Sus scrofa: one gene and its partner. The protein of the gene in region 2 interacts with the protein of the main gene of each other region in a pairwise test. Links are inferred from orthologs where the notes say so. Each region holds a gene or a part of one and is shown on either strand. Other genes may lie near its edges.

Evidence for each region.
Region 1: the proteins of PUM2 (region 2) and DAZL interact in a two-hybrid assay, tested with the Homo sapiens proteins (2 studies listed by BioGRID and IntAct). The link is inferred for Sus scrofa from reciprocal best matches to the Homo sapiens genes PUM2 and DAZL.

What each region holds. Positions count from the first base shown.
Region 1 is NC_010455.5:3,779,853-3,785,905, reverse strand, and holds the start of DAZL (deleted in azoospermia-like), read left to right. Parts: upstream 1-2,057; 5' UTR 2,058-3,174; coding exon 3,175-3,177; intron 3,178-6,053. UniProt on the Homo sapiens protein: RNA-binding protein, which is essential for gametogenesis in both males and females. Plays a central role during spermatogenesis.
Region 2 is NC_010445.4:117,922,647-117,927,957, reverse strand, and holds part of PUM2 (pumilio homolog 2), read right to left. Parts: intron 2,888-5,311; coding exon 2,744-2,887; intron 2,625-2,743; coding exon 2,343-2,624; intron 1-2,342. UniProt on the Homo sapiens protein: Sequence-specific RNA-binding protein that acts as a post-transcriptional repressor by binding the 3'-UTR of mRNA targets.

The sequences.
Region 1 (6,053 bases), on a different chromosome or scaffold from region 2:
AGTCTGATTTCATAAATAATTTTGCTTAGGACGAGTTTTAAAAAAATTAGGTAAAGAGTAATATGGAGATCAGAATTTAAATTATGAAATTGGCTTGCAAATGAATGAAGTTTGAGATGTTTATACTGCTTATTGTAAGCCTTCTATCCAAAGCCACAAGCTATAGGAGCACAAAAGAACTGGCAGAGGAGTTTAAAATATTCTTTTTTATTCTACCATTCTCTATCAGTCTCTGCAGAATAAAGAAGCAACAGAGACTTATTTCTGAATTTATGTGAAAGACACTACTGATCTTAACCCATTGAAATAGTTATAGTCAATTTTGATCTTAAATCACAATTCTTTTTCTCTACATTAAGTGAAAATTTCAAAATGTTTTAAGGAAAAACCACCAACCTTTGAAAAAGTCATGAGCTAAACAAAAATAACTAAGAATTGCTTACGGGTTGTGAAAAATAGGTTAAATTCATTAACTAGTTAGTCTTTGGCAAGACAATGGGTGAAATTTTTTAGAACTGTTGAAAGCTAATCCACTAATCCAGAGAGCTCAAAAACTCCTAAGCAGGAGAAATTTTTAAAACTCTACACCTTGTCATATCATCATGAAATTGTAGAACACAGAAGAAAAACAGATCTTAACCAGCAATTAGATTGACAGCAGATTTCTCAGTAGCAACAGAAACCAGAAGATAACAGAATATGTTTAATATTCAGAGAAAAAAAGGACAACTGCTAACCTAGAATTATATATCCAGTAGAATTATCTTCAATGAACAAGGGCAAAATAAAAGCATTTCAAGTGGGAAAAAAGCCTGAGTTTCCGCACATGACACTAATTAAAGGAAATTCTATAGAATTTACTTCAGGCACAAGGAAAACAATCCAGAAGATCTGAGATATGCAAAGAAATGGTAAGCAAAACGTTTTTACACATGCAGGTGGATCTAAAAAACACATCTAATTTACAGAAGGAAAACAGGATAGAACCAAAATAGCAATTAATAATAGCTTATAAATTGGAGGGGGTAGCTAAGTTAAAACATCCTGAGGCCTTTGAATTATTAGAGAGTGAAAACATTTCCTGGTTTTAGACTTTGCTTACAAGTTATAAAATAGTAGAAAAATCAGCTTAAAATATGCACAGTGTGTATGACTCCAAATAAGAGAAAAAGACCCACACCCAAATCCACATGCACACAGACGCCAAAAGAAGTTTCTTTTGTAAGTTTCTGACATTTTAGTCTTCATTGTCTGCCATTCTTATTCATGGGAAAATAGCATTTGATAATTTTTCACTGTGAGGTTAACTTTAAAGGGTTCTTTTCTTAGAAGAATCCTTTTCAGCCTTTTATGGAAGCATCCCTCCAGGTTGGTTTTCTGTTTGCTTCTGCCAGGCATTCCAGTTGCACCTTGTTTGGATCTTTTTCGGGGAGAAGGCCAAGGTTAAGGGGAATCAGTTTCTAGGTTTTGAAGTCCCAACACTACATAAGTGCTATAAACATAAATTCCAAACTTGTGAAATGCAGGTCTAGAGTTGTAAAATTTTATCAGAGTTAATTTTTTTTTTTTTAACCCAGAAATGGAACAAGCTTCCTCACCTGCTTGTCCACTGGATGTTTAACATTTTCCCTAGCCCATCTTTTTCTTAAACTGATGTCTCTCATGGAGGATAGCTTTTCATAGTGTACTCAGTTCCAGCAACTATCTTAAGTTACTTCAAACCCTTACTTCCTGCCCCTATACTTTCAGGCTTCAAGTTATAGAGACTAACAACACCTTGCCCACACCTAAGATGACCAAGTCTTCTGGTTTGCATTGGACCTGCTTCCCAAGGATGTGAGGGTTTTCAGTGCTAAAACCATGCAAGCCCAGGGCAAATTAGTTGACTGGTTACCCTACACCCCAGCCCTTATACCCAGGGCCAGAAAAGAATTAATTCAAGAACTTATTGCTCTGATTTTCAGTTTAACTCTGGCATCCTGGGATTCCCCTTCATTTCTTATGAGTTTAGCTGCACATTAAAAATAAAGTTAACTATATCATACAGTAATGCTAGATATTTGTGACCAGTTGGCCACCATTTTGCCAGCTCACAAAGTAATCCTCAGTACAAAAGTGAAGTTTGAGGATAAGTTACAGCCAGTTATTCTCTGTGGATATAAGGTTCTGGAGTGGTTTCCAAAGTTGTGTGATTTGCTCTGCAAACTGCCCCATAGCTCGCCCTTGCTCTAGGCCCTGTTTCTCTGATCTTGAGAATGTTCTAGAATTCTCTAGGCAGGCCTAACTTCTTCCTTTAAGGTCAGGAAGAAAAATCCCCCCCCTTCACAATTTGAACACCCCCAGCAAAGGAACGTTTGGGTATTTTATTCACTCCTACATTTTGGGTGCCTGGCAATTGTTGATCTCAATAACTTGTTTCTGGAAAGAACAAACGTCTTGAATGCCAAGCGGGCCTGCCTACCTGATGTTTCCAATCCAACCCCATCTCCCTCACACTTGAAAGAAAGTCATCCAAGTTTCTGGACTTTTGATGTCTCCCTCCCTGTTCTTCATATATGTCTTTCTGTTTTCTATTTCTGTTGCCATTTAAATTGATTTGGGGGCTGATGATAGGGATAATCGCCATTGGGCTATTCCTGGGCCTTTGGGACGCCATTTTGAAACTAGAGCCTGGACACATTCAAATTTTGTTTTTAATTTTAACACATATTTGAGTGTGCAGACTTATTTCAGGTGTGCTTCTAAGGCACTTTCGGGACTTTCTGTATATCTGTGGGTCCGTCGGCACGCCCTTCGGGAAGTGGCGCCTCTAAGGGGTATGCTGTCGGCCCGCGCGCACCCCTTGCGCACCCCTGGCTGGCGCCGCCGTGCCCCGCGAGCCCCCTCTGAGGGGGGCGGGGGCGCGGCCGCCCATTGGCTGAGGCACCTCGGACGAGCCCCCCCACACCCCGCGCAGGAGCCACCTCCGGGCGCCCTGCTCGCCGCGCCTCAGTCCGCCAGCACCCCTCAGCCTCGCCAGCTGCCTGCGGGTCGCTTTGCTTATCCGCTTCTGCTTCCTCTGCCCACTCGAAGCCGGACAACAGGCACCAGCAGGCCTACAGCAGCCCCGAGCACGGTGCTGAAGCCAGCCTCTGCTCCTCCAGTCCCTCGGTGGGAACACTGGCTGTCGCAGTAATGGTGAGTGGAGGAGGCCCGAGGCGGTCTGGGGGCGGCCTGGGGGGCGCAGCCCGAGGAGAGGGTGAGAGCTGGGCCGCCTCTGCTTTGCTCTCCTGGGACGCCAGCCTGAGGTGGGTGGGGAGGGAGGCCGCGGTCCAGCGGCCGAATACCGGTCTCGGCCTACAGGGCCCTGAGGGCGGCAGAGAGGCGGGAGGCCTGGCTGTCGAGAGGCTGGGAGTGCCCGGCCCGCCAAGCACGTGCACAGCGGCCGCCTTCCCACCACCTCCGCCAGCCCCGACCGGGTTGGGGGGAGCACCGGGCCATCCGGTGAGGGGACTGGGGGGCGGGGACCCTGCTCCCGCCCCACCCCCACCCCACCCCGGAAGTCCCTTTCCCGCGCTTACTCTGAGTAGAAAATCCTGAGGAGACGAGCGGCGCGGCGTCCGCGAGATGGCGTCAGGCCCGCGCGAACGAATGCCGGCTGGCGTGGCCTCTGAGGTGCACGCGCTTGCGGACCCCGACCACGGGCCGGGAGCCGACTCGGGAGGTGGGGTTGGGGCTGGGTTTGGTGAGGACTGTGGGGGGTGTCGGAGAGGAGTCGGGGCGGGACGGGACTAGGGCCGACTGAGGCCGGCAAGTGTCACCCAAACGAAGCCTGCAGTGGCCCTGTGACGCCCTTGTGAGGCAGCGGCGACCTTGGGCGGAAGCTAGCTCGCCGCCATTGCTTCTGCACGACGTCAGCGCGGCTTTTGCCGCTGGGCGGCCGCAGATTGGGGAAACGGAGGAATTCTTGGCTCAGGGAATACGTTTCCCCTTAAAAAAAAACCCAGGAACTTGCAACACCTTGTCTATTAGAGTATTACACGTGACATTCATGTGAATTTTCTAAATGCAGACAGTTGATTGACCACCTCAAGGTACAACAACGCTGAGCACTTTTGACCAACCATCAAGTCCCAAATGTGTTATATACTAGGTGTAGTTTACAGTATAATAACTATTAGTCTTTCAGTTTTTGGAGATAAAGGGAGGAAATTTATGTACCATTTATATTGGCACAAATTTTAAAATAAAATTTTATTGCATGTAACTACTTGTAACATTTTTGTGTCATGTAGTTACCCATGTCAGTAATTACTTAATAATTACTCTGAGTTACTATAATCATTTACAATTTTGTCCTCCCCATTTTTAGAGGAAAAGAGGGGAAATGTTAATAGCTTTGTTGATTTTTATTCTGGTATAAAAGTAGCATATTAACTCATTGGGAAGTTATCAATGTAGAAAGTAGAGTCCATCTTAATCGCAACATCTAACCACCGTTGAAGTTTTTACGTATGTGTGCCCTTCCAAATTATTTTCATGCATGTGTTGCATCTAGACAGGTACATTTTATTTTATTAAAATTGTACCATGCTGTATTATACTATTTTACAACCTGCGTCCTTCACTTAATATACTGGGCCTTATTCCAAAGAGAAATTTAAAACGATTTCAAATACATAATGTTAGAATATAGGATTGTTCCATTACTCATTTAGCCAAATTCTGGTATATGAATTATTTTTCTATATTAAAACAATATTATATTGAGTTATTGCGTATCTTTGTGCAGATGTTTTGTTATGCTTATTCTGTTAGTAACTTGAAATGCCACGAGTAGAATCACTGGGTGAAAATGTTATGCCCATTTTATAACAACTATGAATTATGATACATCTTTCCTACTTACTCTTCATAAAGCATGTACCAGTATATATTCTCACTGATGGTGTGTAATGTGACCTCCTCTCTCCACTCTTTCCAATGAAAGGCATTATACTTTATAAAATTGCCAATCTAATAACTGGAAAATATTTCACAGTGTTGATATGCTTTTTTTATTTTAATTATTACTGAATTTGAAGCTTGTAATTAGCTTTTTACATTTCTTTGTAATAAATTCTTAGTCCATCTTTCTATTTGGATATTTTTCTTATGATTTATAAGAACTCTGTTACTATATTTGTCATATATGTATTATTTATAGAAAAAACTTATAGTGGTTATGAGGAAAAACCGTTAGTCCTAATTTCAGTGGAAATCATTATCATGTTTCACTTTAAGCTTGATGATAACTTAGAATTAGATTGATAGAAAATAAGATTCTTTTACTTAGGTTTTTAAAAATTAAGAAATGAATACTGTATTTGTCAAATGCTTTTTCAGTGGTGAATCGCAGTAACAGATTTCCTAAGAATGAACCATCCTTGAATTCCCAATATAAACTGTTCTTAATTGTATGTTTTTTTGTATACTGCTAGAATTTTGCGTCTCTATGTTGGAGGCATGGGTGGATCATCTTAAGCAGGTTTTGTTATTTAGATGGTGTTAGTTTATTTGTCTTTCCTCTTTACTCTGAAAATTTTTTAAGAAAAGTATTTGACTTTCACTTTCAATTCCCTCCCCTAGCTACCATTGTTTTTGTCTAGATTCACCCCTTCCCTCCCCACACACAAATTATCTGTTTCTTTACAGTTTGAGAAAACTCCCAATGAAACTGAACCAGGAATCGAATGTTCTTTCTTTTCTTAAGATTGTTTCTTAAAATTTACTTTTCTCTAGAAAGTTAGTTATATCATCAAGATTTCCAAAGTTACTATAGAGCATTTTCTTATCTCCATTACTCATATCACTCCTCCTTTTTTTTATGACTGTGCCTGCAGCATATGGAAGTTCCTGGGCTAGGGGTTTAATTGGAGCTGCAGCTGAGGCCTTGGCCACAGCCACAGCAACACCAGGTGCAAGCTGCATCTGCAGCGTATGCCACAGCTTATGGCAGCACCAGATCCTTAACCCACTGAGCAACATAGGATCCTTAACCCAGGGATCAAACCCATGTCCTCACAAAGACCACA
Region 2 (5,311 bases):
TGATCATGTTTTATTGAAATTTTCACTTTTTAAGATATCATATTGTAGGGAAACACTAAGTAACTATATGCATTTTAATAGCAAAAAGTAAAATAAACACTATTGTAAGAAATAGTTCTTGAGATGGTTTTGGCAAAATTGTCAACATATGCTACATTAACTATGCTAATTTAAAAGGACACTGTCAAAGTGATTTTTCTAAAACATGGCTACATTTAAAATTTCTATTTATTTCAGAAAACAGTTTAACAGACAAGTAAAAAGACAATAGCTCTCTAATGGGAGAAGCAGCACTATCATTCTCCTGGCAAATAACCAAAGAAACCAGCTTTGACACATGCAATATTATTTTATTCTAAAAAGGAAAAGCTTAGCCAAACACTTAAAAGTACTGCAGAAATAGCTTTACACATAAACTGGCTGGCTACTTAAATTATCTAATGCCTCAATTATCTGCAACGGTATGATTATAAAATATAAAACAAAATATACCTAAAATATCTAAGAGGCTAGACAGACAATGGAGTCACTAATCATTTAGCAACTGTGTATGTATAAGAAGTTAAATTACAAACTTTCGAATGTAAAAGAACATTCTAAATAATGGGCCACAGAAAGGATGATTTAATTACTATATTACAATGGCTAAGCTTCCTGGCAAGTTGTGTTATAAACTGGAGTATTTAACAGTGTTAAGCATTTATAATTTCATCATATGGGTAAGAGAATGACTGTGTACATGTTACTGTGTGTGTACATGGGCATATAAACATAGTTCCTGAATGCAGGGGGATGCGTCTTAACTAAGGGACAAATAGGAATTTGGAAGAACTGGGTAAGGGGGGGCTACAAATCTGTATCAGACTGTAAGTGACATTTTATTAGAAAAGGGAACATAAGATTTATCAAACCTTTTCTCTATTTTTACTGGCTCATTTAAGGGTCTAAAATGTATTGTTCAGAAACCAGTTATTTCCATCAAGCTTTTTTTCTCTTTTTTAAAGTTATAGGTCCTTTCAATTTGCTTTAGCAATTTGGGATTATTTGGGGAAAATGCTTGTCAACTGTGTGAGAAACAAAAAATGCATCTATGGGAGTGCTTGGACTGGAGATAAAAATACTAAGTTCCAAAAGGAGTGAAAAAATTCAAACAGGAAAATTAAAGGACTAAGTAGTCTCAAATCACTAGATTTTCCCTCAGAAGTTCCTGTGCCCATTCTTTACGTAATTTTGTATTAGGCAAACATGATATTTCCCTGCTGTATTTCACTGTAAAAAAAAGCATTCTGCACTAAAAGGTTATAGCTGTTCTAGGCTATCCCTTTTAGAAATATGAAATGTTTAAAAAGTTCAGAAGCTATTTTCTTAGAATACTGGCAAGCATAGTTAGTAATGACTAGCACGTGTTCTGCCATTTTCCACACCAGAGAAGAATATAATTTAATGTGGTGGGAAAATATATAAGAAGCAGATTTTAAGTCTCTGGGACACCAGGGGGAAAAAAAAAATCCCTTGAAGTCTGACTAAATGGTCCTGCCCCTCATAAAGAAAAGGCTATCAATCGTGCCAAGAAAATGAGGATAAGATGTCTTTCCCCATGTTTCCTAAATACTCAAATACTCGGGGAATATCAGAGTATGTACAAGGGTATCAATGTGGGTCTCTGAATTTGGTGCTTCCTCAGTTACAAAATCAGTCTGTGTGGGTAAATTATTTATTTTGTGAAGCTATTTAAATTTGGATTTCTTAACTACTGAACATAAAATGAGAATATGGGAAAAAAATCCTTTTCAATGAATTTTTAGTGATAAAGGCTAAGCTGTTTAAAATAAAGATAAGCCTACTGGTAGTTTCTTAGGGGCATCTGTTTAGAACATTCCATTATATTTTATAGCAAAGACCATAAATAACTATTAGCATTTAATAATAAATCATCTGATGAGCAAAGATAATTATTATTTTAAAAACACTAGAAACTTAAGATGGCAAAATACTTACTTCCTTAAGCAACATTATGTAGGGAAAAAGGAAGAGCTAATAATTAGCATAATATATGTTGTCCCAGACAAACCTTACTAAAACCAGAATTAGAGTAATATAATTCTTAAAGCCAGGGAAAATGTATTATATTTGAGTAAAGGATGGGCTGCTTGAAATGAGTTAAACACTTATAAATGTTGCAGGAGGTGGTTTTTTCTTCTATAAAATTAAACCAATCAACTGGCATCTTACTCCTGTCTTTTCTGCACTATAAGCTATTACTGTTTATCTTAATATTAAAAACAAATACATATACCTCAGGTCCAATCAACAGAGTGCACTCATTTTAAAAAGAAACTTACCTGATGAACCAAATCCACTGAGGGCTGAGCCTATAGCAGCACCCAAAGAGCTACTGCTTCCAAAGCCAAGAGATGTACTTCCAGGCTGGCCAGGTCCGTGAGAAAATAAAGAACTGCTCTGGGAGCTATTAGTCAAAGAAGTGCTCCCATAAAATGAATTAGACTGCAGATTAGTGCTTGGCTGTTGCTGCTGCTGCGGTGGTGGCTGAGTGCCAATTGGCCGGAATAGACCATTTGTGCTGCCTGTTAGACTATTTGCAGTTCCTCCAGCTGCTGCCGCCGCTGTGGTAAAATAAATTTCAGATACTTCTTAAAACTACCCAGAAAACCATTTTCTATTTTTAAAATATCTCAAACAACACCAGAAAAATATTACCCCTTAAAACATCAGTTATACTTACCAGCTTGTGCTGCTGCTGAACTAATTAAAACAGGTGTTGGAGCCATTAATCGAACTGGAGCTCCAAGGCCAGTTCTTGCTCCAGGGCCAACCACTAAGGCACCAGTCTGATCATAATAGGCAGTTGGAGCTAGTACTTGATAGCCTAGATAATATTAAAATAAATGTTCACCAATGAAAATATTTATTATAGAAAACATGCATTTCCCCCATTTGTGTTTCTATCAATCAGAAAACAGAGCTACTTATACTGTAAATATAAAAATCCTTAAATAGTTACCACATAAAGACCAAACACATCTGAGAAGGTATTACTAAATATATGAAAATGTAGGATCGTACACATAAGCATTAGTTTTATTACAGCCTTGAACACAAGGCAGATGACGATCTGCATTACTCAGATCTATAGGAGTGAAGTTTCTCTCTTAGTAGCCTTTCTCAGAAGGGATCCTCATCTGAATCACAGAACAGAAAATGTCTATTTTGAACAGAAAAGTGATGTTTTTGCCAGTTTTCTCAAGGATGTATAACAAGTACCACTCTAGATGCATGGGAGAGTAAGTTAACTAACTATACAGGTCATAGGGATTTTCTCCAAGAACTTAGGTTGAGAAAGGCTGTCTTATACAGTAACAAGGACTCCAGCTCAAAAATCCAACAACCACTTGCAAAAATGTACTGGCAACCTCGGACCCTTTTAAGTTTAAATGCTATCTTTCCCATGCAAAGGTTGTTTTGATTAAATGAAGTAATTATGCTTCACAATTTCAGTTTTATTATAATGAATATGAATTAGGAGGACCAGGCAAATGCATAGGGCAAAACCTAGGAGGGGATGTAGAGCTTTCCAGCCCTCTCCTTATGGAATTAACATGATAAATTTGAGGAGATTATTAAATATCCAACTGTAATTATCAAATAGGACATAGAAACCTAGACTTTACAAGAGGTTCAGGCTAGAATTAAAAATCGAGGAGTAGTCAACATAAGAACAGTATAAATAAAAAGGATGAAATCACCAAGAAAATAAAAAGGAGGTAGGCCCTATGGACTGAAGGTACTTCACATTAAGAGGCTGAAGAGAGAAGAAACCAGGAAGAGACAGACTGAGAGGAAACAGCCAGTGAGAAAAAAGAAAACTGGAACAATGTGGTCGCTTGGAGGCCAAAGAACAAAAAGAATGTGAGTGAAGACTAAGTAATCGACTATGCCAAAGGATGCTAAAAGCCGGTTAAGAGATGAGAACCTGACCAATGGATTTAGCAACACCGAAGCCATTCTGGTAAAGATGAAAGCCAAACTGTGGTAAGTTTAGTAAACAAGTGAAGAAACACAAACAAGTACAGAAATGCTTCTGATGAGTTTTGCTGTGATAAGGACCAGAGGGGAGCTACAGAAAGGGAGCTGAGAATAATTTTTTTCTTAATCAGAAAATGTGATTAGCAGAGCATGATACTTAAGTGTTTAAAAACTTTATTATTATGAAATAAAACACACAAGTACAAAAATCAACAGTACACAATAATGACAACACACAAGTGTAACTACCATCTAAGGTGCTCAACAGAAAACTGCCTAGCAACACCTTTCATAAATCCCTGCTCTATCACAATCTTTTCTTTCCCTCAGAGTTACACAATATTCTACTTTCCATAAATACTTCTCTCTAAACAATAATTTGGTTTTAATTATTAAAAAATTTTTATGTACAATTCACCCAAGTTCTATTACAGACCTTTCAGTTTCCATTTTCAATACTGTACAGAATCTCAATGGACAAACACAATGAATTTATCCATTCTATATTTACCCTGTTTCCAGTTTGGGGCCACTGACAACAATAATGCCATAAACATTCCTGTACACATATTCTGGTATTATGTGTACATGTTTCTCCAATCTAAGGTATATATCTAGTAGTTGACATCCTGAACCACAGGGTATGCATATTTTCAAACTCTGGTAAACAATTTCAAACTAACTCCAAAGAGGTTGTGCAAATTTACACTCTTACCATGTCAGTACTGGAGTTCCCACTGCTCTATCACGTTATCTATTTTTCCTTTTTCAGCCACACTTGCAGCAATGCATGATTCTTAACCCACTGGGGTTGGGACAGAACCAGCCCCTCCAAAGAGACAAGCCAGATCATTAACCCCCTGCACCACATCGGCAACACCTCCATGACTTTAATAATACTTGATATTGTCACTTTTAAAAACTGCCCAATCTGGAAGATATGCAGTATTCTGCTGTGGTTTTGATTTTCCTTCCCCATTACTAAGGAGACTGAGGATCTTTTCATATGCTAATTAAGCGTTTCGAGGTCCTCTTGGAAAATTCAAATATCTTTGGCCCATTTTTCTATTGGCTGCCTTTACTTAGGGATTTTTAATTTGTGTGTGTGTGTGCGCGTGTGTCTTTTTATAGCCACAACCCGAGGCATATGGAGGTTCCCAGGCTAGGGGTCAAATGAGAGCTGTAGCTGCCAGCCTACACCACAGCCACAGCAACATGGGATCTGAGCTGCATCTGTGACCTACACCACATCTCACGGCAGGGCCAG